Notamacropus eugenii: one gene and its partner. The protein of the gene in region 2 interacts with the protein of the main gene of each other region in a biochemical or structural test. Links are inferred from orthologs where the notes say so. Each region holds a gene or a part of one and is shown on either strand. Other genes may lie near its edges. The genes, in order: SARNP and DDX39A.

What was found.
Region 1: the proteins of DDX39A (region 2) and SARNP form a complex in vitro, tested with the Homo sapiens proteins (2 studies listed by BioGRID). The link is inferred for Notamacropus eugenii from reciprocal best matches to the Homo sapiens genes DDX39A and SARNP.

What each region holds. Positions count from the first base shown.
Region 1 is NC_092874.1:231,062,803-231,075,009, forward strand, and holds the start of SARNP (SAP domain-containing ribonucleoprotein), read right to left. Parts: upstream 6,522-12,207; 5' UTR 6,513-6,521; coding exon 6,354-6,512; intron 3,877-6,353; exon of another isoform or gene 3,830-3,876; coding exon of another isoform or gene 3,803-3,829; intron 1-3,802. Other genes in the region: ORMDL2 (ORM1-like protein 2), read left to right, coding at 6,661-6,794, 7,538-7,712, 7,832-7,983, 8,602-8,737. UniProt on the Homo sapiens protein: Binds both single-stranded and double-stranded DNA with higher affinity for the single-stranded form. Specifically binds to scaffold/matrix attachment region DNA. Also binds single-stranded RNA. Enhances RNA unwinding activity of DDX39A.
Region 2 is NC_092875.1:76,519,788-76,532,893, reverse strand, and holds the start of DDX39A (ATP-dependent RNA helicase DDX39A), read right to left. Parts: upstream 5,551-13,106; 5' UTR 5,363-5,550; intron 4,521-5,362; exon of another isoform or gene 4,429-4,520; intron 2,930-4,428; 5' UTR 2,924-2,929; coding exon 2,716-2,923; intron 2,030-2,715; coding exon 1,902-2,029; intron 1-1,901. UniProt on the Homo sapiens protein: Helicase that plays an essential role in mRNA export and is involved in multiple steps in RNA metabolism including alternative splicing. Regulates nuclear mRNA export to the cytoplasm through association with ECD.

The DNA of each region.
Region 1 (12,207 bases), on a different chromosome or scaffold from region 2:
AGAAAGGCATATATAAATTACTCTCAATCCCCAGCAGACACTAACTATGCTCTTCAAGATATGCCTAGAGTCTAATGATGAAAACTTGTTAAATTCCTTTGGTCTCTTGGAAGATAGAGAAAATTCATTCTCATCTAAGCAAGTCATACTGACCACTTTCTGTCCCCATCCTATAGACTTCTCTGAAAGTGTGAGAGTGTGTGTGTGTATGTGCCTATGCGTTCACTATGAAACATGTGTCCAATCACCTGCAAATACGTACATTAAACAATGGCTGTCACAAGCACCATAGTACCACAAAAACCAAGTAAATGTTAATTTTCATTCCAGGGTAAAAACTAGGCCCTGCAGTGAATCCATAGAGGTAATATTACCTACCCTCTTCTCCAAAAGCCTCTAGCACTCTGGCTGACAAGAATCAGAAAAGTCAGTCAAGATAGATGCATAGGAAATAAAACAGACATAAATACTGATGGTATGTGTGACAAGAAATTAGGACCAGAGCCACAAGAACAGGTAGGTACATTCAGACCCCTCAAAAAGCAAACAACAAACAAAACTGCCAGAATTGCAAAACTTACCTCTTCTACAATAATCATTTCCTTATTTGATTATCCCAATCCTTAATACAATTTTCTACCTCCACTTTTGCTGACACCTCAATAAAGCATCCTCTCCCATATATCCTATCTAGTGATCTTGAAATCAGCACTTCTTAAACTGTGGATCTCTTGAACCTATGAGTCTTGACCCTTTGTGGGGTTTAAGAAGTGCTAAAGGGATCCTGAGTAGAAAAAGTTTAAGAAGCCTTGGTCTAGATCAAGTACAAATCCTCACTCCCTCCCTCAACCTTAAGTGATGTCTCCCTTATCTGGCCTCTTTTAGCAATTATCTGCACATCTACAGGAAAGGATGTATTAATCAGTGGTATCCTATTATAATAGCAAATTGCTTATTATTAAGCTTTTCATGTGTTTTAATTCTTCTCTCCCCAACTAGATTATAGGTCCCTTGAGAAAAAGGAGCATTTTACACTATGCATTTCTACATGCTACACTGTAGTATATATTCAAAAATATTTACCAACATTATGGTTGGGTATGCTAATTTATAGTATAATCTTGCACTTGTTAACATTTAGTTTGTACTCAGAATTAATAAAATTATTAGTTCAGAGTTGAGATAAATCTTAGAGGTCAACTAGTTCAACCTTACCCCCAAGATAGGAATGTCCTATACAACATGTCTGACAGATGATGATCTAGACTTTCTCTGCTCAAATACTTCAACTGACAAAGAGCTTGGTAAGTCACAAAATATTTCTGAATGGCTTTAATTGTTGAGAAATTTTTCCTTATGTTGAACAGACACCTGCTTCCATGAAGCTTCTCACTGGTTCTAGATCTGGCAACCAAAGCAAGGGTTCTAAAGAGGGTAAAAGTAGGGAGGAACCAGTCTGTGAATTTTGGTTAATTGGTTTTCCTTTATAATCCTACATATTTTAATTTATGCATATAAAAATTATTAGTCTGAGGAGTCCACAGATTTCACCAGATTATCAAAAATAATGACACAGAAAGTTTAAAAAACTTGCATAGGGTGACAAAAAAAAATAGCAACCCACTTAATATTTGAAGAGCCATTCCTCAAAAGATAAATGGCTATGAACATACCCACAACAAAGGGTGTGGAAAAACAAGATTGAGAGGAAAAGCAAACTATCAAGCACCAGATGAAAAACTGCTCTAAATCAATTAATAAGTAAGAAAAATACAAATTAAAACTCCAAAGGTTTCACCTCACACCTACAAAAAGAGTAAATGATGGAAGAGCTTTGGTAAGACAGAGAACACTGGTGCACTGTTGGTGGTACTGTGAACTAGTCTAACCATCCTAAATATCAACACGAAGTGTTCATATACTACATTATTACTGGACAAATACCACCAAGGCAATCAGTGACCAAAGGACCTCCATGTAACAAACATGGCAGCATTCTTTGTAGCGTCTCTTTGGGAAGCTGCTAGGTGGTAGAGCAGACAGACTTAGTAGCTGGAATACTGCCTCAGGCATTTACTGGCTGTATAACCCTGGGCAATCGACTTAGCCTCCCTCAGCCAGTTTCCTCATCCGTAAAATGGGGATAATAATAGCACCTACCCTACAGGGCCATAGTGAGGCTTAAATAAGATATCAAATAGATAAAGTACTTGGCAAACCTTAAAGCATTAATAAAATGCTAGCTATTATTAGCAATAAAATGCAAACAAAAAGGGCTTCCCTTGACTGAGGAATGGCTGGACACATGGTAATATGTGAACATAATGAAAAATTGTCATAATGAAAAATTGTGCAGAAAGAAATGACAGAAATGAAAATATCAAGAAATCAAGAGAACTTGTATGACCTGATTCAGAGTGAAGAAAACATAACTACATAAATCATATGCACAATGAGTATTAACGTAAAGGAAAATAATAGTAAAAAGTAGTTGAACTATGAACTGTAATGAACAATCTCTCACTCAAAGAACTAATATAGAAACATACCTTCCTCCCCTCAATATTAAGATGGAGACTATTGATGTGGAATGCGATACATACCACAGCTGTACTTACTTGTTTTTGTTTTTTTGTTATAGGAAATCAATGGGGGGGGAGCGGGTAGAGGAACTTAAGAGGAAAAAATTGTGGTATGAACACAATAGAGAAAAACAGAAACAAAACTTTTAAAAATTAAAAAAAACTGACAACACCTATCACATACCCAAGTCTTCCCTTCCCTGAATTAAACATACTTAGTTCCTTTAAGCAATCCTTACATGACACGGATTCCAGACCTTTCACCATTCCAGACAATCTAACTATAGACATGCTCTAATTTGAGAGATGGTGTGGAGTAAGGAAAAAGAACACTTGACTTGAAGTCGGAACAGAATTCATATCCTGGATCTGACATTAACTAGTTGTACAACCACAGGCAAGTCCATTAACATGCACTTCAGTTTCTTCATCTATAAAATGGAAATAATAACACTTAACACTACCTATCTCACAACATTGTTGAGGATATAAGCCATGAAGTACTATATAGACACATAAGCTAATATTATTGTCCATGTCTCTTTAAAATATAGCAGCCTAAAATGAAAATTCTGTTTAAGTAATTTCATATGTGTATATTTATCTCTATCAACTATATTATATTTCAAAGACAGGTACCTTACCTTGACTTATAATTTTGTTTTCTTCCATAACATTTATAGTGTTACTACATAACAAGCAATCCATAGTTGCTCAAGTGACTGTCAAAAGTAGCTCTTAAAATATAGATCTATGAAAAAGGGCAGAGAGCAAATAAAGAACTTAAAAGTCATAGATACAGAGCTGGAAGGGACCCCAGAGCCATCTAAGTTCAACACCCTCATTTTACAGAGGAGGAAACTGAAGCCCAAGGAGATTAAATAATTCATGCCTAAAGTGACACAGGTGGGAAGCATCAAAGGTAGGATATGAACCCAAGTCTGACTCTAGAATCAATGCTCTTTCCACTGTGCCACAATACCACACTATCCGCAAAAGGACAGTCAATGTATTCACTACTTAAATGAATTCCCACGATATAGTTTGGCTTTACCACTATTCCTATAGTGGTCTGTGTGGCACTTGACACACAAGCTTATCCCAGGAAAACCTGAGGTCAAGTCCTGCCTCTGAAACATACTGGCTGTGTGATCCTGGGCAAGTCACTTCACTTCCCTAAGCAACTCTCTAAGACTACAAGTTTCAGAGAAGATGCCAACCTGCATTAGTAGAGGGAGTTTCCTCATCCAGGAGTTGTGACTGTAGTCAAGACATTATGAAAGACAAGCCAAGAAGCTGCTAGAATTAATGGAAAACCAATATAACAATGAAATCACAGATCCAGTCCCCATCCCTGTATTTTAACAAACATTGTTCTCTACCATTTAGCTTTCTCCCTGGCCAGTTTGTATTTTGTGGTGGTTGCATTTCTTTACATTTTTCACAAATTTAAAGTCAATAGTATAGATAGGGTCAAAAATGAATAATCATTTCAAGAGAATAGAAATCAAGAGATTATAGTGCTAGAACTGGAAGGGACCTGAGAAGGCATGTATTCTAGCCCCCTCATTTTACAGAAAAGAAAACTGAAGCCCAGGGAGGATACGTGACTTGGCCAAGGTCACATAGCTAGTAGGTGTCAGTGGCAGGAATTGATCCCAGGGCTAGGAAATCTCATTAGTGCACACTTTACTGAAACAGAAGGCCTCCAGTCCTCAAAGGTCTTTATTTAAGGACTTCTGTTCACAGACAAAAAAGAAAATTTGAAAGCAAATATGACAAATCTGCATATCCTTTTAACCAGTGTGGTTATTTCAGTCCATACCTTGTCTTTTTCATTAAAATTAAGTAAAAGGTGGACTTCTGAGCATTCTTTTCTAATTATCTCTAAAAGCTCAATTAAAGTAAGCTAATGTCACCCAAACTAAACATCTTATTTCTCAAGAAAATTTTACATTCACATGTAAGCTAGAAAAATTAAAATGTTAAGCTCCAAAGCAGGAGTTCTTAACCTTATTTTCTGTCACTGATACCTCTGGCAGTCTGGTGAAGCTTATAGACTCCTCACAGTGTTTTTATATAATTGAAGGAAATGCTAAATTCCAGTGAAAGTTCAGTGAAACAACATTTTTCCCCATCCAAGTTCATGGACCCTCTGAAATCTGCCAACATCCCCCATGATTAAGAAGCCCTCCCATACAGCAAATAACAAGGGAAGATTCTTTCAATATAAGTAACAACTACGCCAAACTCCTTTAGATGCTGTGAGAGGTGAGAAATAGCATTTCATGAGGGAAAAGAAGACTCAGTTGTTTCTAGAGCAGGGGTTCTTAACCTGGGGTCTGTGAACTTACTTCTAAAAATATTTAAATAACTGAACTTCAAAATAATTGGTTACATCTTATGCATTTTATTTTATGCATTTAAATACATTATTCTAAGAACAGGATTACAGGCTTCACCAGACTGCTAATGGTGTCAATGACACTAAAAAAGTTAAGAATTTCTGTGGCATATGGACAGGCTCCTCTCCTACTCCTTCTCTATGTTCTTTTACAGTAGACTCTGATGGCCGGCATCAGTCCAGGAAAAGAAAAAAGCAAAACTGACATGCCATGGAAATGGAAAGCTTATAATTCAACCTTACACTCTCAACAAATGATACCATAAGAATAAAATCGGTTAAGCCAAGCAGAATCCAAGAAAATAAAAGTCCATGCTGCTAGGGCTAAGCATGTTTTAGTAGTGCCTATCTCAAGAGTATATCCAAGAAATCATAAACTATTTTTTCCTATTAGATATGCTTTAGATTGTCAGCATCAACAAGCCAGGTTGCAAATCTTATAGAGCACTTAATGTATTATATAATAAAGGAAATCGGTTTTTAGCTTGTTTCCCAAAAGGAAGTGAATAATCACTACCTGACAGGGGGACTGTTTGCCAAATTCTGAACGAACACCTAAAATCAACCAATATATCTCTTTTACCTATAGGAGGTTAATTCTTCTCCCCAAGTAAATAATACTAAAATCTTTGTCAACCATCCTATATTTCCCAGAGGATGACACAAAAGGAGGTGGAGGATAATAGGGAAAACTGAGTTTGTTTTTCAAAAAGCTTCCCCAGCTCCCTTCCTTATCTTGCAAAAGAAAAAAAAAACCTCCCTCTTCTTCTGAGGTGACCCCAGTGCCATCGAGTGCCTGAGGTGCGGGGAGGGGATGCCGGTGGTCCCCATTCCCGGGCTCTCCCAGGCTTCTAGGCTGGACTCAGGTACCATAACACCTCTGAGGAAGGAACTGGGGCGTCCCTGAGTCGTCCGGGCGAGCTGGACAGACACACAAACGCACGTGGGTGCCGCTACCCCAGCTTGCTGGGGACTCCTAGACTCGGAATGGAGAGGAGACCTGGGGAAGGAAAGGGGGTCGGGGGCAGAGAGGAAGGGGACAGAGGCGAGGGGGGTATGACGTGCTGCTACCTCTCCTGCCTCCTCGCAAGGGGAGAGGCAAACACACATTCTCGGCAGAAAGGGGGGAGGGAGAAGCGGTAAGGAGAGGGGCACCCCGAACGGAGAGAAAAGATGGCAGGGGGAAGGAACGAGAGGGGGGGGCAGCACGAGAGGAGAGGAAGAAGGCCCCAGAGACCAGCCTAACAGGGAGAGGACCGGGACGACAGTGAGGGGAGCCCCGGAGGGAGAAATGAGGGGAGGGAGGCGCCGGTCACCTCGTAGAGCTCGGCCCCCAGCCATGCCCGGGCCTCTGCCCCTCACGGTACCTTCAGCTTGTGGAGCTCCACCGTCTCCGCCGCCATCTTGTCACCCCCTCCTCCCCCAGTTTGCCCCCCTCTCCTGCCTCCGCCTTCTGGAGCTCCCGCCGAGACTCCGAGGATCACCACCACCCAATAGCCGTTGTTTATACTCCCACTCTTTACCATCAGCTTTTTTCATTCGTCGGCCGCCAGCATGGGTCCTCCCCCACGCGACGGTCTGCCGGAGAAGGGGATTGGAGAAGGGTTGGTTCCCTCCCACCAGAGTGACAGGCCCGCTGACTAACGAAACACAGAACATCGAAACGGGTGGCCAATGAGCCACGGCAGCGCCGGGCGTGGAGGGCCAATGGGGACAGTTCGAGGGCACGGCCGCTTCCAGGACACAACAGGTGGACTAGGTAAAGTAGCCGAACTTGCGTCTGGCGGAGTGGCCCTTGGAGCCTCCAGGTGAGGGGATTTGGGAGTGAGGGGATGACTCCGAGAGGAGCGGAGACAGGCCGTGACGGCGAGCTTTGAGGGGCAGGGATGGGGCCCCGGGCTACAGCCCAAGGGTCACTGGGACTCGGGGATCGGCTGGGTTCGGCCGTGGGCTGCCGGCTCGTCTGGAGGAAGGAGATTTGAACGCCCCTTCGTAGTGCGCCTCGGGGGGGGGGCGGGGGGCGGTTCCCGGAGCGCCTGCTCTGCCTGCCCCCACCCCGGGCGGCGGAAGGCCCACAACGTGCTCCCGCAGCTTCCTACATTTTCCAGAAAGGCCAATGGCAGCTCCCCCCGCCGAGGTTGTCGTCCATGGCAGCCCCGGACAGAGAATGGGAGGGGAGAGGTATCGTTCCCGAGCACGTCTACCTCCTGAGCACCTCCCCTTGGACTCACCTGATCTGATTCTCCTGCCCACCCCCGGAAGACGAGAGGACTGCCCCAAATTCCCCTCTATAGAAAGGAAGTGCTCCATGCCCCCTTTTCGCCTCCAACTACGGCCCCTTCCCCCGCTGTTCCCTTCAGGCTAAAGTTAGATTCCCCTCATCCCAGAAAGCTTTTTATCTCTCAGGCCTCAGTATACCAGAGGAGCGCCTTCCCCTCCTCCTCCCCCCAAGTTCAAGGTTCATTGCAGTCACCAAACCGGTAACCGAGGGAGGCAGACCAAAGGAAAGAGAACCCCGGTGAGTCCAGCTCCTGACTCACTATTGTGGCAGGATGAACGTGGGGGTGGCCCACAGCGAGGTGAACCCCAACACAAGGGTGATGAACAGCCGAGGCATCTGGCTAGCCTACATCATCCTAGTAGGGCTTCTACATGTGGTTCTACTCAGCATCCCCTTCTTCAGCATCCCAGTGGTCTGGACCTTGACCAACGTCATCCATAACCTGGTGAGCCTCCAGCCTAAATTCATTTTCTCTTATCCAGACTTGAATTCTTTGGGGATTTGCCCACCTGCCTCAAATCCATAGCTGAAAAGGATTTCTTCTACCTTCTCACCCCCTCCCAGGCCATGTACGTCTTTCTGCACACTGTGAAGGGGACACCCTTTGAGACCCCCGACCAAGGCAAGGCCCGGCTCCTTACACACTGGGAGCAGATGGACTATGGGCTCCAGTTCACCTCCTCCAGAAAGTTCCTCAGTATTTTTCCCATTGTGCTGTGAGTTCCAGGAGGGTGAGGGAGAAGCTAGGTAGAGTAGGTGTTGCAAAGGCCCCCCAAGGGGACATCAGTTAAGTGGAAGGTACCACCACAAGGGGTAGAATCTCTGTAAACTCACTGAAAAACTATGATCTAACCATGCTAGGAGGATAGAGGGTGTTCAGTTCACCAATTATGAAATCCAAAGTATGAAAGCCACGAATAGGCTTGCTGCCTCCCTGTGGTGGTAATGGGGATAGGAGCATCTGGGAAAACTTCAAAGAAATCCTCACCTAGATTCTGTGGTGCAAGACTTTGTTCAAGTGTACAACAAATGAAAGTATAATTGATTTAAAAGGAAGAGGGTAATGTCAGAGACAAGGGGACATTTGCAGTACTGTAGCTTGACCCTTCTTTCATTTTCCATTGATCAACACATTTTGCTATAAACTGTCTATAAATCTATAGAATCTATAAACTACTTCCCATTCAAGAGAAATGCTGTTCATGTGGCAATAGTGAGATAGAGCTGTCATTTAAGGAAATAACAAAACTGACTTAGGGGAAGATGGTAGAAAGAACAAAAAGAGGTCAGGGAAAGGTCCCTCTTTTTCATCATGTTCTTCTTTCTCTCCCCAGCTACCTCCTGGCCAGCTTCTACACCAAATATGATGCTGCTCACTTTGTCATCAATACAGCTTCACTGCTCAGTGTACTACTGCCTAAGTTACCCCAGTTCCATGGTGTCCGTCTCTTTGGCATCAATAAGTACTAACACCTGGCAATGATCACTTAGGTACAGGCTAGGGAAGGACAAGGAACAAAGAGCTGCTCTATCCTCCTTCCCTTTAGCAGCTGAAGACCTGAGGATCAACTGATCTTTTTTTGCCAACTCCAGGGAGATGAATTTGGGGGTAGGATGACTCCCCTGTACAAGTAAGGGCAGGTTCCTTAGAATCAAGAAATATGGGTAAGGGCTGGGCCCACTCTCCTGGCTGGTGCTATAGTTTATCTTTTCCAACTATCTACATCACTGCTATATAATAAAAGCTATTTTTCAGATGTAAATCTAGGGTAGTCAGCAGAACTTTGTGGGAGGTGAAGGAGGGCGAAAAGACTACATTCTTCCCAATCTTAAATTGAAAATAAACCTCTTTCTGATTATTATCATATCCCATGCCTCCCTGAAACTGTTTCTTGTCCCCACTCAACCAAGAGCAATCATCAGAGATTAGTAACTCTTATCATGTAGAAAATAGGGTCAGGGCAAGTGGGCACACAAAAGAGGTAGGCATAGCTTGCCAGTTATATTTATAGAAAGGTAAATCCCCTGGCTTTAAATAGATATGTACATACAAATATGAACAAACTTAAAAAAAAACCTTTTGATTACATAGGGATAGCTGGGGACAACCCCACCACCACCATCACCAAACTTGCTTTTTTGCCTCCTACCCACCAAGGGCGTGGGGACTTGAGTCTGCTTTAAAAAAAAATTGTCAAATCAGCCATCCTTGCAGAAACAACCCTGAGGTTAGGTAGGAACCATAGAACAGAAAGAGGCAGCATTTCCATTCCCTGAATGGTCCTGGGCTTTTACCCACCCCTGAATATAAGGGCCACTTGCCTCCTCACATGGATGATAGAGGAGAAGGCCCAGAAACAAAGGTCCAAGTTAACAACAGAATGAGTACCACCCTGGCCTTCGGAAGGAGGGACAATATAAGAGCCCCCCCCCAAACCCTAGAGAGCTCTGTCCCACACAAAATACTCATCAGTCCCAATCCTAGCCATGGTCTAGGCACAGGGCCCTTCCTGCCAACCACCCCACTATTTCTTTGGTATTGTCATCAAACAAGATTCAGTTCTTAGTTCCCAGAGTGGGGATTCAGTGGCTTCCCACAAGTCACTGAGTGAACAGGTAATGCTTGAAACTTTTTGAATATTGAAAATTTTTTAAAAAACAAAACAAGTTCCATCCTATGCTGTACACAGCCCTTATGATTCCCTGACACTGAGCTGAGGAGGGTAGAGAAGAGGAAGAGACAGGGCATCAGCGCTGGAAGGGCCTCCTCACTTTTTTCCGCCGCTTCGGTTTGGCTTCTGAACCTTTGGATGTGGTGGAACTGTCTGGCCTGGAGGGTGGGGTGGCCCCAGGGCCAGGCTGAGAAGCTGCAAAGAAATTTCCATTGGGCATCTGGCCTGGGGGAACCTGAAAGATCCGGCTGAAGAAATCCTGAAGGTCAGCAACTGAAGCTGGGGGGGCATCTGGAGTGACTCTGCAGTAAAACAAATATTGTGATGAGGAGATGAACATTCCTAAAGATACACAGATGTTTTACTTATTAAGTAAAAGTACCAAGTCATTGGCCAGGATACACTGGGATACTAAACTGTTCTGTATAACCAGTTCTCTGAAACAACAGGCAGGGAAAAAAACACTACCTACCTCTGCCGCCCACCAGGACCAGGAAACCGGGACCCAAATGAGATGTGATAGGGGACTCTGTGGGTATCAGGGGAAATCCCCACACGCTGGCACCCAGCCCATTCTGCAAACAAGAGGGAGGCAGATAAAACAGTACAACTCAACCCAAGTGAATATCCAAACTCCATTCTATGTAACTATATGTCCAGGCCCTTCCTAAGACTTGTTCAGTTGTTTCAGGTGTGTCTGACTCTTCTTGACCCCATTTGGAGTTTTCTTGACAGAAATACTGGAGTGGTTTGCCATTTCCTTTTCCAGCTCATTTTCCAGATGAAAAAATAGGCAAACAGGGTTAAGTGACTTGAGCAGAGTCACACAGCTAGTGTCTGAGGCTAGATTTGAACTCACAAAGATGAGTCTTCCTAAATCCAGGCCTGACACTCAATCCACTGCACCCCCTAGTGGCCCTCCTAAGACTATATAGCTTCCACATTATCCAGCATCACAGACAACTAAACATTCTGGCCCTTCTGTTACCCATTCTTTTTTTCTATTTATTAATTTGTTTTCAGTTTTCTACAATCACTTCCATAAGTCTTAGATTTTCTCACTCTCCCTTCCCCATTCCTCCCTAAGATGGCATGCAATCTTATATGGGTTCTACACATACATTCTTATTAAACACATTCTCACCTTAGTCATGTTGCAGAGAAAAATTAAAATGAATGGGAGAAACCATGAGAAAAAAACAAAACATAACACAAGAGAAAATATTCTGCTTCATTCTGCAATCCAATTCCACAGTTCTTTCTCTGGATGTGGAAAGCGTTTTGCCTCAAGAGTCCATTCGGAATATTTTAGGTCCTTGCATTGCTGTAAAGGGCTAAGTCTACCAGAAAAATTCCTTACACACTGTGGTTGTTACTGTGTACAAAGTTCTCCTGGTTCTGCTCCTTTCATTCAGCATCAGTTCATATAAGTCCTTCCAGGCCTCTCTGAAGTCCTGTTCATTATTTCTTATAGTAATAGTATTCCATTACATTCATGTACCACAACTTGTTCAGCCATTCCCCAATTGATGGGCATCCCCTTGATTTTCAGTTTTTGGCCACTACACGGAGAGTTGCTATAAATATTTTTGTACATGTAGGACCCTTTCCCATTTCTATGATCTCTTGGGGATACAGTCCTAAAAGTGATATTGCTGGATCAAAGGGTATGCAGATTTTTGTGGCCCTTTGGGCATAGTTCCAAACTGCTCTCCAGGTTGGGTGGATCAGCTCACAGCCCCACCAACAATGAATTAGTATTTCAACTCTCCCACATCTTCTCCAACATTTATCATCTTCCTGTTTTGTCATGTTAGCCAATCTGACAGGTGTGATGTGGTACCTCAGAATTGTTTTGATTTATATCTCTCTAATCAATAGTGATTTAGAGCGTTTTTTCATATAACTATAGATAGCTTCAATTTCTTCCTCTGAAAACTGCCTGTTCATATCCTTTGACCATTTATCAACTGGGGAATGACTTGTATAGTGCATTTGATTCAGTTCTCTGTATTTTACAAATGAGGCATTTATCACAGACACTAGTTGCAAAAATTCTTTCCCAGTTTTCTGCTTCCCTCCTAATCTTGGTTGCATTGGGTTTGTTTGTGCAAAACTTTCCAATTTAATGTAATAAAAATTACCCATTTTGCACTTCATAATGTTCTCTATCTCTTGTTTGATCATAAATTTCTCCATTCTCCACAAATCTGACAAATATACTATTCCTTCCTCCCCTAATTTGTTTATAGTATCAATCTTTATACC
Region 2 (13,106 bases):
AAAATATGTAGATACAATCATCTAAAAGATTAGGAAAGAAAGTGGACATCTTGGTTGAACCTTGAAGGAAAAACACTTTCTGAGATATGAGAACTGTATTCTACACATGGGAGAAGGTTTGCACAAGGGCCTAGAGGCAGCAGGTGGAAGCCATGCTCTGAGAGAAGCTCATCCAGTCTGGCTGGCTGGATCACAGGAAGAGATCTCAGAGATAATCAACCAAACAAGAGTTTATTAAGACCATTCAGAAGCCCACAGAATACAAACACCAAAGGAAAAGAGCCCCTGCCCTCTAACAGGAGAAACAACCTGTATATAAATCTAGATAGACTGAATCCATGGGTTTGGGGATGGGGGCCCCCTGAGCTCAGGAATAGCACAGTTGTGAAGGAAATTAGGAAGCCTCTAAGAAGCAGAGATAAGAGCGAACAATTGTGGACATGCAGGACAGCTGAGGCCACTGAACAGGAACCACCTTTACAGCACACACAGCAAGTGATCATCCAATCTTTTGGATGAAGACCTCTTATGAGATGGACCCCAACAGCTTCCTATTTCACACCTAACCAGCTCAGAGTTGCAGATGACCCAAAAGTCAGTGGTGCCATGAGCACAAGAAGGCTGCCCATTCCCAAAATGTGGCACAAAAGAGATCATTAAAGAAGTTTACAAGCAGAAAAGGAGATGTGCCTGTCCCATGGCAGACAGTCCAAGTGCTACCCTGGGACTAACAAAATTTAAAAAGTAGAGGAGCATCTCCAGCACACTGGCAGGGCCCTCTGCGGAAGTATGGCTCATAGATAAACACTGTCAGTAAAGGAATCCTAATAAAGCTGCCCAGACCCAATATTCTAACTTCCTTATAGAGCCCACTAAACAGCAGGCCCACTGCCCCTACCTGGCCACTCCACCACTCAATATCCTGACTTCTTCATATATGCCTCACTGTTCACTGGAACAAAAGGTATGTCCAAGAACTCATATTTCCCACAGAAATAGTAGGTGTGTCTATGCGCTCAATCACAACCTCATCCATCTAGTCTGAGACAGGACCACAGTAGTCAGTCAATCAGAAAGCAGCACCACCAGGATGCCCAAGCAGGATGTGGACTCCAAAACAACAGAAGGGACTTTCCCTAAGCAGGGACCTGCGCAATAATAGCAATAGCTGTGAACTTATGATATAGAGAGGCTCATGATAATATCATTATTATACATACATACCCCCTCAAATGGCTTTTTTCTGTATGCATTGTGGGTAATCACATGCACAGTTCCATTATGGCTGGGACCCCTTCCCTATTACCTAATCCCTTAACAAATCCCTCCTGCTTTTTTAATATCTATAATTTTTGTTATTTAATTGTATCTTTACCCTATAAAAATCGATCTTGCTTTCTCTGAAGTTGCTGGTTCCTCTTGGAATTTAGCCCACTTCATGAGAGGTATCAATCTCAATAAATGCCTATTCCAGGATTAGAGGTGGTCTGACCCTGAATTTTTTGAGATGGTGCTGCCATAACACAACGTGAAACTGCAACATCAAGAATTACAGAGAAGTTTGCAATTTTCACTGATGAAATATGTATTTATACCAATCCATCTAAGTATATAAGGGGTATATAAAAAAGTGGAATACTGTGACCAAGTCCCTGAGAGTAATGGCTACAACTTACCCTCTCTCCTTAGCAGGGCCTAACAAGACTGAGAACAAAGCCTCGACAGACATCTGCTGAATTAAAACCAATTCCATAAGCACTTGGAAGTACATCTTTAAAGGGTTCACCCACTTCTTGTCTCCAAGGAAGATCATGGAGGTGAAAGAGAAGTTCTCTTCATATCTTCAGAGGGTTCTTACTTACTGTAGAAGACAGACAGAAAGACCCTCCCCAGCCCAGTACCTGTCCATCCACAGGCTCAATCTGTTGCAGGGTAGCCAACACAAAGACCGCTGTCTTGCCCATTCCAGACTTGGCTTGGCATAGCACATCCATTCCCAAGATGGCTTGTGGAATACATTCATGCTGGACTGAGAAAGAAACAGTATTCTTCTAAGTAGGGGAATATGCTGTGAAGATTATCAGGCTTGGAATCAGGAGATCAGACTTCTAGAATCCCAGCTCTGGAACAGGCTCACCGTATCACTTTAGGCAAATCATTTAAACAATCTAGGCTACATTTTCCCTTTACAGGTATAAATATCATGCCTAGCCTGCCTACCTCACCAGCTTAGTGTGAGAATCAAATGGGATAATGGAAGCAAAGTGTTAAGTGGAAAAAAAGTAATTACTGTGAAGTAGGAAAACAAGACTTTAGAAATCAGGAAAGCATCTGATCAAAAAGGACTTAAATAGAGCCCTTCAGCTCCCTGACAAGTGAAGGGCTAAAGGAAGACCACAGAAAATCTGATTAGATGCCTAAGCAGTCATCACCAGTTATGTAGTGTGTGTGTATGTGTGTATGTGTATGTGTGTGTGTGTGTGTGTGTGTGTGTGTGTGATTTCTAATTTAATAGCTTTTGATGTCTTCATCCTAGAGAGCAAACTGAATAACTGCTGTTCTAGATGAGCAAACCTGATCAAATCAGGTACTACATGTAAAGCACTTTGCAAACTTCATAGTGCTATATAAATGTTAGCCATTATTATTCACCAGAAATACTACCTATTTCTGTGAATAGCTGGAACTGCGAAAATGGAAGGGGGAGAGGCCTACCTTCAGATGGATGCTCAAAGCCACAGTCCACAATAGCCCTCAGAAGCTCTGGCTTCAGAAGGAAATCCCTGAAGCCCGAGCTATGAATGGAGACATAGGAGCCCTTCACATCCTTCTTGGCAGGCGTAGGTGTGCTCTCTGTCATGGGCTGGGGCTCCTCATCCTCTTCATAATCAAGCAGTTCATTCTCCACATCTTGTTCAGCCATTCTGCCCTGAGGAGAAAAGAAAGATGTAGCTGGTTCATCACAGATGGCAGGAAGAAGGGCAGTACCTGCTTTTCCAGGCCACTGACAGAGAGAGGACAGGGGTCAACCAAGTGCTAAGTACAAAAAGACAAAAACACAGATCCCCCTCAATCCCTGGACACATCAAGAGTCCAAAAGTCCTTTTGCACTGTCTGTACTAGAGATTCTAACTCCTCAAATCAAAGCTGGAAGCCAGCAAGCACCATGAATCTTGCCCTCCTCATGGCCATTTCTGCCTAGCAAACTATCTTATCAGACAACCAACATATTTGAATACTTGTGTTCAATACCCATCTGCAGTAGGCACGGAGTGGAATAAGTACCAGGGAGACTCAGCAGTGGAAAACTCACAAGCCAGTTAAGACAAGACCACACATTCTAGAGGCATAAGGTAAAAAATAAAGTTCACTACTAGGGATGGGCAGATTGCTGCTATAGAGCCCCAACTTAAAACTGCTCTTTCTCCCTCTATTTGGGGCTCATACTACACCACCCTTAGTTAGAATGCTTTTATTAAAAAGCCTCCTGCCAAGATGTAGATCTATACCAGCATACAGATCATAATACCTACTTCTATCACCTAAGCTTCTTAATTAGGTTAATATAGCCTGAAAAGAAGAATCCGATTAAAAGGCAGTACTTATTTTAATCCATGCGTTAAAATGTATTTATGACAAAACCTTGTAGTTAAAAGAAAATTTAAGCCAAATATTCTCTGCCACAGAACTTGGGAACTTCAAATCCACAAACATAGAGGAAGACAAAGACAGGATGAATCAGGTGCCTTCTTTCCTTGGACTCCAAAACACCGTCTTTTTGCTTGATTAAAACATCCAACAAAACTTTTAGCAATGCTTTCCCATCCAATACCAAAAAAATCTACTGTTAACCATCTACATGTTAACCATCTTTGGGACCCCCAAAATAAAGCTTAAAAATGTTCTTCCTGTCACCAAGAACATTTATGATATCACGTCTTCTCTCTCCTGATATTCAGTCTCAAGTTATTTAAAAGTTTGTGTGCCTCAGAATACTAGCTACAGATTGCTGGCTCTCACCCTTAAGAAGCTCACACCTGGAACCAGGTGCTCAGGTAAAGAATTAATAATTTATGAGCACCTAATGAATATGTAATTTAAGCTAGCAATTATAACTTTAAACAAAAACAGGAAAAATTTAGAAAAGTCAGTAAGCACACAGGCCTTTCCACTCTCTTTCCAACCTGTATTAACCTGTGTAGCTGTCCCATAAAGGCCATGGAATTCATGGACACACCGAGTTTTTCTTAACTTTTAATTTCTAGTTCCACATTCTTTCCCTCTCTCCATCCCTTCTGAATTCCTAAGAATACGCTAAAAAATATTTTTTCATGTTCATTTACAAAAGCCTCTGTACAAGTTTACTAGACTGAGTCTACTCCAGAAAAGACTGTTAAAATCCATCCTTTTCAGTGAACTTGTCACTACCTTGAAAAGATTTCCTTTAAACTGTCACCCACCAAAATATTTCCTGTAGCAGCGTGGAAGCAAAAGACTCCAAACCTAGGCCAGCGGGGCGAAAAATCTGACAAGTTATGGAGAAAATACTTAGGAGAGTCTCGGACGCTGGCAACCGCCTAAGTCCAAAGAGCGGATTTATGGGCCAGGGTGGTCCTGGAGGGGCGGATTTTTTCAGTCGGAACTGACTACGCCTTCTGTGAGAAGTGGGGTGCCTGTGGCAGTGGTGAGGGCACCCACATTCAGGAAATCCTGTATGCCTAAACTAATTAGGGAGAGAGAGGAGTGGGGACCGTGGGAGCGAGGGCGCAGTCAGAGGACAGACACGTCCCGGGAGGCTCCGCCAAAGCTTGTGCAGGAGGGGGATCCCCACCAAAGCACAAATTTGAGGGGTTCCCTCTCGGGGACATTCTCGTAAAGTACAAATACGGGAGACTCCCTCCAGGGCACACGGGTGTCCCCTGCGTGGACAGGCGTGGGCGGCGGGCTCCCGATGACCCTCAGACAAATGCTCTGGGGCCCCCCGGCTTGGATCTCGGGGTGCAGACCACAGCTGCGGGGGCAGTCTCCCACGTATTTCATGAGCGAAGGGCGTCCCCGCCGCCGGGCTCCCCAGGCCTCCCGCCCCACGCGGGCCGCGCGCCTTCCGCAGCCCGGCGCCCCAACGGTCGGGCGGCCCGGAGGTGGCATGCGCGCGCCACCTGCCCCGGCCGCGGCTCCGCCCCCGCCCTTGCCCGGCCCGCGGCAGCGCGCGATGAGCTTCCCTGTCCTCCCCGGGGCCTGCGCCATCTCAGCCTCGCCGCGTGCCTGCCGCTTCAGCGTCAACTCCGCAGGCCTTTCCCGGCCCGTCATCTCCAGCGCGCCCAGGACCTCGCGGCCTGCGGCCCCCTCCTCCGCCCCTTACCTCTGAGCTGAGCGCTTGCCTCCGGCTGCCTACACGCGCTCCCAAAGCCAAGAGTTAACTCAGGAGAGGTGTCGCGTTCGAGTGGAAACCGCCTCCCCTACTTCCTTCTCTTCCTGCTAAAATTGGCGCACCACCTCCAAACTTCCCGGCTAACTTGCCTTGTTCACTGGGCTGTCAGCCTTTCACTCAGAAGGGAGCAAGCTCTGATTGGTTGATTGGTCTCGGCCGCGCAACCTATAGAGGGAGAGGGGACGGTCCCAATGTTTCATTGGGCAAAGTCTGCGTCGATCCCGGCGAAAGTCCTTCTGAGTGGTTTAATTAATTCCAAGGGGCCGTCTCGAGATGGGACCATATGACCAGGCCTGGCGAATACCTAGGTGCTACCATACTTACTAATGGCAAGATCATCTAGTGAAGCCAGCCTAGAGCGTTGTGCATTGTGGGTAAAAGGCCGGAACTCCTGTGGATCGCCCTCCTGTGGAGCTCTACTGTCTTCCAGTGCTTCTTAGGGTGTGATAGGGAAGTCAGGCTCCCCAGGTTCCAATCCCAGCCTATCCATAACTACCAATTGTAACTAACAATTCTGGCACCGAGGTCAAGCCCCACAAAACACGCCCAGGTGCTCCCCGGTCAAATTTTGAAAATAAATTCGGCTATTGAGGTGGGGGAGAGGAGTCCTCAGCACCTAAGGCGGGGGAAAATGCAGGAGGGGTCGGGGAGAAGGACCTAAGAGACTCTGTAGACGGGTCAGAGATTCTGGAAAAGCCAGGCGAGGCCAGAGAGGGTGTCCAGGGAGTCCAGGAAGAGCTCCCTAGGATGTTAGCTTATTTTACCTAATTATTCCTGCTATTTAGGCGCTAAGCCAGGTTCTTTCTACCTGGTCCAGGTGCTCTACGATCCGACAACACTTGAAATGAAGCTCTCTCGCTACCCCGTTCCTTTTCCAAATCCATGCCTTCTCACTGTCTTTCTCTTATACCTGAAATGCAATCCCTCTGGTTTCTTTCTGAAATCCCACCACATCCAAGGGATATTTCACAGTATTTCACCCCTCCCTTTGAGTTCATTCCCTGTCATCTATTATGGCTATATCTGGTATTCCTCTCCTAGATCACTGCTGTATTGTGGTAGGTGACTTTGGAAGGTCAGGGAAACTGAGCTATGCCATGCAGGGTTACCCAAGACGGACTGGTCATAGTGAAGAGTTCTGACCAAAGCTCAGTTCTCCAATTCTCACTGGAGAAGGAAATGGCAAGCCACGCCATTAACTCCATAGACTATATTAAAAAGGATAAAGGATATCACACGGGAAGATGAGCCCTTCCGGTGGGCAGCCAACAGTTACTGAGAGAGCCCAGGACAACTACAAGTAGATGCAGTAACTAATGAAGCCATTGGGCCAAAGCCAAAAGGAAGCTCAGTTGCAGATGTGTCTGATGACGAGAGGGAAGTCCAGTGCTATAAAAATCATTATTACATAGAAACCTGGAATGTAAGATCTATGAACTAAAGTAAGCCAGATGTGGTCACACAGAACATGAAAAGATCAAACATCGACCCATTGGGTAAAAGGGGGATGGCAGAGGATGCAATAGATGGTGTCATGGAGGTAATGAACTTGAGTTTGGACAGACTTCAGGAGGTAGACTTCAGGGGTGCTATGGTCCATGGAGTAACAAAGAATCAGATGTGACTGAACAGCACAACAGATATCTTGTATTTACATCATTACTTGTATGTTGTCTTCTCCACTGGAACAAGAACTGCATGAGGGCAAGGATTGAGTTTTTAACCTTTCTTTGTATGCCTTGTGCTTCATAAACACTTAATAAATGCTTATACACTGACTTGGAGCTCTGGAAAAGGGGGACAATTACAATGAGCTCTCCCTAAGTTTCTGAGTCTAAGGACAATGCCGCAAGCAGCTTACTCTGGTTCATTCTAGGTGTAAGGGGTAGCCAGGAGATGGATCATCCTATCTATGGAATAGCAAATAGGTCAGGTCAACTAGATGGCAAAATGCATAGCAGGGAATAATGTGTAAAATGGCTGGAAAGGCAAAAAGAGGCCAAGGTGTGAGGCTCTTGAAAAGTGAAATATAGGAATTTATATTCACTGTAGGTACTAGAGTTTAATGGGGGTGGGAGGGATATAACATGATCAACCAAAAGACTCCATTCACTCCTTCATCAGTCCCCGCTTCAAAGGAACTCACTCAATACATTATGTATTAGATGCCTGCTGTATATTCACACTTATAACCAAAGGTTTGCCAGTGGAAAAGAATTCTTTCAGCTACAGCAAATCAAGAAAAATGTGGAAGGATTAGCATATTTTGTATTTATATCACAATTATGTCCCTGCTAGAAATGAGAGGAGGAAGGGGATAAGCATTTCTATAGCACCTACTATGTTCCTTCCAGACACTGTGCTAAAAATATTACATCATTTGATCCTTACAACAACCCTGCTGGTCAGGTGCTGTTATTATCACTATTTGAAGAAACTGAGGCAGACAAAAGTTAAGTGACTTTCCCAGGATCACACAGCCAGACCTAATGCTCTAGCCACTGCATCACCTATATGCCTCAGGGACATTATGAAAGGATTCTTGCTCAGAGATAGGTTGGGTTAGGTGATTGCTAAGGTCCTTTCCAACTCTGATACTCTGTTGTTTACTGAACACCAGCTATGGCAAAGAAAGGTCTGTGTTTGAGAAAAAGCATCACTGCTCTTTGGGAACTTGTCTTACTGGAAAAATGTCACCTATGGTGACAGAACTGGTATGTGGTAGCCGAGCTCCTCTGACTTCAGATCTGGCTAAGGCTGTGTCACATTGACATTTAACTCAATCCTACTGAAAAAGCAAAGATTAAATACTACCTGTACTTATTAGAGAGTCATCATGGTATAGTGGGAAGAGTGCTGGGCTTAGAGTCAGCTCAAATCTGAGTTCAAATCTGACCTTAGACCCTGGTCAAGTCACTTAACTTCCATTTGTTTCAGTTTTACACAACTTTAAAATGGGGATAATAATGGCCCTTACCTCCCAAGGTGATTATGATAATTATAAAGTACTTAACACAGTGCTTGGTACATAGTAAGCACCATATAAGTATTAGCTAGTAGTAATAATAGTAGTAGTAGTAGTAGTAGTAGTGGTAATAGTGGTAATAGAGAGCTGACCTTGAAATCAGAAAGTCCTGGCTGTGACCTAAACTGGTTGAATGACTTTGAGTGAGTCTTTTAAATTTGTCAAGGCTCCAGGTAACTCTCTGTGATGATAAGTCTCAGAGAAGGTACTGACCTAAATTGGTTAGGAAGAGTTTCCTTACCTGGGAGTTCCCTAAACCAATGAAATCACAGGTCTAGTCTTTATTCCTATGTTGGGTTTTTTTTTTTAAGAGAGCCAGCCTTGTCCAGTAGATGGAGAGCCACCAGCCTTGGAGTCAAGAATAGTTAGTTAGTGTTTATATAGCACTTTAAGGCTTGTAAAGCCCTTAATATACATATATATGTGTGTATGTATGTGTGTACGTGTATGTATGTATGTACATGTATACATATAATATAAAAAATTTCATTTGATCTTCATGGTGACTCTATGAAGTAAGTACTATCATTATCCTCATCTTACAAATAAGGAAAACTTGAGCCTGAAGATATTAAGTGACTTGCTCAAGGTCTTCCATCTAGTAAATGTCTTGGGCAGGATTTGAACTCAGACCTTCCTAACTCCCAGTTCGGTTCTTTAAAGAAGAGCTAGGTTTGAATTCTGCCTCTTACACATACTAGTTGTCTGACTTATAGGGCCCTGGACAGCTCTCTCAGATTGTAAGTTATAGATTGTTGCTTATCTGTATTGACCAGGTATTCCTTTCTGGGGTAGAGAGCCTTTGACCTTGAAACCCCATGTGGCCTTCTAGATCCTTGAGTTGTGACCTTTTGACTGAGTCCAAGTTTTACAGAACAAATTCTTTTATTAAGGGGATTTGTTCTGTGAAATTTGGATTCAGTCAAAAGGCTGCACTCAAGGACCTAGAGGGTCCCATATGGCCTTGAGGCTCCAGGTTCCCCACCCCTTTGAGACCGGGTGTAGTCACATCAATGAAAACCTCACAGGTCTGTCCAGAAAAGCACTTCTGTATGCTACAAGGCACTGTTATCAGTATAAGGACTGCAAAGACTAAGTAAAGGCATGTTCTTGGTCTTAGGTGTCATTCCAGTCTAATACGATTACAGTATATTAGCAAATTAGTATAACAGGAAATCTAAACATGTGTGGGACAAAGAAGTAATTCAAAGTTCTTTTAAAAATTTTTTTTGATTTATTTTGTTAAATATTTTATCCCGATTACATGTAAAGACAATTTTTTTGCATTTTTTAATATTATTTTTGGTGATTTTTACAATTTTAAACTTAAGTACAAAATAAGAAAAGAAACAAATTTAAATACAAAATAAGAAAAAAATTGACGTGCACAGCAGAATGTATGAAAGGATTCAAAATATAAAGCAATTAATTTCCATTTCAATAAAACCTATATAATATAAATAGTACACATTTTGTTTAGAGCTGTCCATCTTTACTTCCTTGCAAGTTTTATTTTGTTTTCTGCAATGTACTTTTTGTTTTGTTCTTTTTTCCCCTTCCTCCTTCCCAAGAAGGTTACAATTAAGCAAAGATACACACACATTCATATATACACATATACATACAAACATATATAGACATACATATACATAGATATCTATAATCATTACATTCATTTTTTAAATAAAATTTTGAGTTCCAAATTTTCTCCCTCCCTTCTTCCCTACTCCCCCCCACCTAAGAGGGTAAGCAATTTGATATAGGTTGTATATGGGCAGTCATATCAAACATTTCCATATTAGTCGTGCTGTGAAAGAAACAAACCAAAAGAACAAAAACACACACAAAACAAAAAAAATGAAAAATAATATGCTTTGATCTGCACCCAGATTCCCATCAGTTCTTTCTCTGGATGCAGATAGCATTTTCCATCATGAACCCTTGGAAATTGTATTGCTAAGGAGAGCTAAGTCTATCAAAGTTGGTCATCACGCAATGTTGCTATTACTGTGTACAGTTTTCTCCAGGTTTTGCTCCCTTCATTTTATTTCAGTTCGTGTAAGCCTTTCCAGGCTTTTCTGAAATCAGCCTGCTCGAATGATCCAAAATTCATGAGGAAAATGTGAGTATAGAGAAGTTGCTTTCAGTCAAAGTAATCAGAAAAGTTTCATGGAAGTGGAAAGGACTTGAACTGGGCCAAGAAAGAAGAGAAGGAATTCCCCTATCCTATCCTATCCTAATCCTATCCTATCCTAAAATAATTTTATAGGTAAGGAAACAGGCCCAGTAAAGAGAGAAACATGATCTAGTTGAAGAATAACTGAACTTGGAGTGAGAAGACTTCAGTTTGAGTCCCACTTCCCACAATGTAACTGTGGAAATCTGGGTTCAAATTCCAGATCTGCCATTTCTGTGTTTTGTATACCCTTGGGTAAGTTTCTTCTTTCTTCCTCCTTAGTCCTTCATCTGAGAAATGAGGCAGTTGGACTGGCTGATCTCTAAGTTACCTTCAGTCTGTAGTACTGTGTGACTCTGGAATTGGTGACTAGTTAATAACAGACAGACCAACTAGAGCCCAGATCTCTCACGTCCCACACCAGAGTTTTTTTCCTACCTCTGGCTACCACCCTTGGATTTAGACTCACTGGGACTTTCTCAACAAAAGAGATATAATGTAACCTGTACACTTTTCACTACTCCTCAGAAATTGTTGCTACTTTCACCAGATTGAGAGCTCAGATGGATCCATCTGAGCTCTCCCCATACACATTTATGGACAGTAGAAATATCTAGAACTGCTACAGCAACCCTCTAGAGAGTTCCTAGAGTTCTAGAGAGAGTTCCTAAACAGTAAAAAAAACACCTCTAGAGATCACAGGAATAAATGAACCTTTCCGTAATATAATAAATAGTATTTTAAAAAGCTTTATTGTTTTCTTTTTACATTACAAACATTTTATAGAGTAATACTCCCTACTCTATGAGAACTCTCTTGTTACAAAGAAAAACAAATAATACAGTGTTCTCATCTGAAAGTACACCCAAGATTCCACATATCTATTATTCCCCCACCCTGTCTTTAAAAATCAACAGAAATATGTTTTCTTTCCCTCCCACCTCCTATCGCACTGGCAAAAAAAAATTCATTGTAACAAATGTATATGGTCTTTTTGTACCTTAAATACATCACCTTTCTGACATGGATGTCATGTGTCACTATTATCCTCTGAAATTATGAATGGTCATTGTGTTGATCAGAGTTCTAATAACTTACAAAATGATTTGTTTTTATAGAAATTGTTCTTATTCAAATTGTCCTCATTCTGCTCATTTCATCAGTTTATAAGTTTTTACAATTGTTCATTTTCATAATATTAATTATATTCAATAATATATTCAATAATATTAATTATATAATATTGTATAATATTAATTATAATATTAAGTGTTCATTTGGTTCTGCTTATCTCACTCTGCAACAGTTCATGTACATCTTTCCATGTTTTTTTTAAATCCTCTATTTCCTCATTCCTTATAGAATAATTATATTCCACCACATTCAGATATCACAACTTATTTACTATTTCTCTATTGATAGGTATCCCCTTAATTTCCCACTTTTTTGCCACCACAAAAAGAGCTGCTATAAATATTTCCATATGCATGGGACCTTTTCCTCTTTCTTTGATTTCATTTGGTCTGGGTATGGTACAGCTGAGTCATGTACCATTTAGTAATTTTTTCAGTATGATTCTAAATTACTTTCCAGAATGATTGTACCAATTTTCTACTCTACCTACAATGTGCCCCTCCAACATTCATCATTTCTGTTTTTTGTCATTTTTGCCACTCTAATGGGTATGAGATGAGATCTCAGAATTGTTTTAATTTTTATTTCTCTAATTAGTAGTGATTTCAAGCATTTTTTTTCATATGGCTATAGGTGGCTTGGATTTCTTCCCTTGAATACTGCCTGCTCATACCCTGAGATAGAGCAAGCATTATATATACTGGAGAAAATTTAGAGGACTTTCTAATAAAATGAAGGGTAAAGCAAAGATATGCATCATCATCAGTAATATTTAGCATACTGCTAGCTATAAATTTAAGACAAGAAAGAGAAACAAAGAGAAGATAAAATTATCAGTTTTTGCAGATGATAGGATGATGTACTTAGACGCTAGCTAAAAATTAACTGAAATAATAACTTCAGCAAAGTTGCAGGACATAAGACAAATCCACACAAATCATCAGCATTCTTACACATTACAAACAAAATTGGACAATAAAATGTATAAAGAGAAATTCCATTCATAACACCTATAGAGGCTATAAAATACTTGGTAGTGTGTATTCCAAGATTCATCCAAGGACTACATAAATCTAATTATAAAATGTTCTTTAGAGAAACAAAGACAAACCTAAATCATTGGAGAAACATTAATTACTCAAGAGTAGATCAAGTCAATATAATAAGAATGATAATACTCTCTAAATTGTTTATTCAATACTATTCTAATAAAATTTAAAAGAATATGTACAAAGCTGGAAAAAAATAACAAAATTTATATGAAGGGACGAAAGGTCAAAAATTTCAAGGGTAAAAATTTTTTTAAAGTAGGAAAGAAGGAGGTCTATCAGTACCAGGTC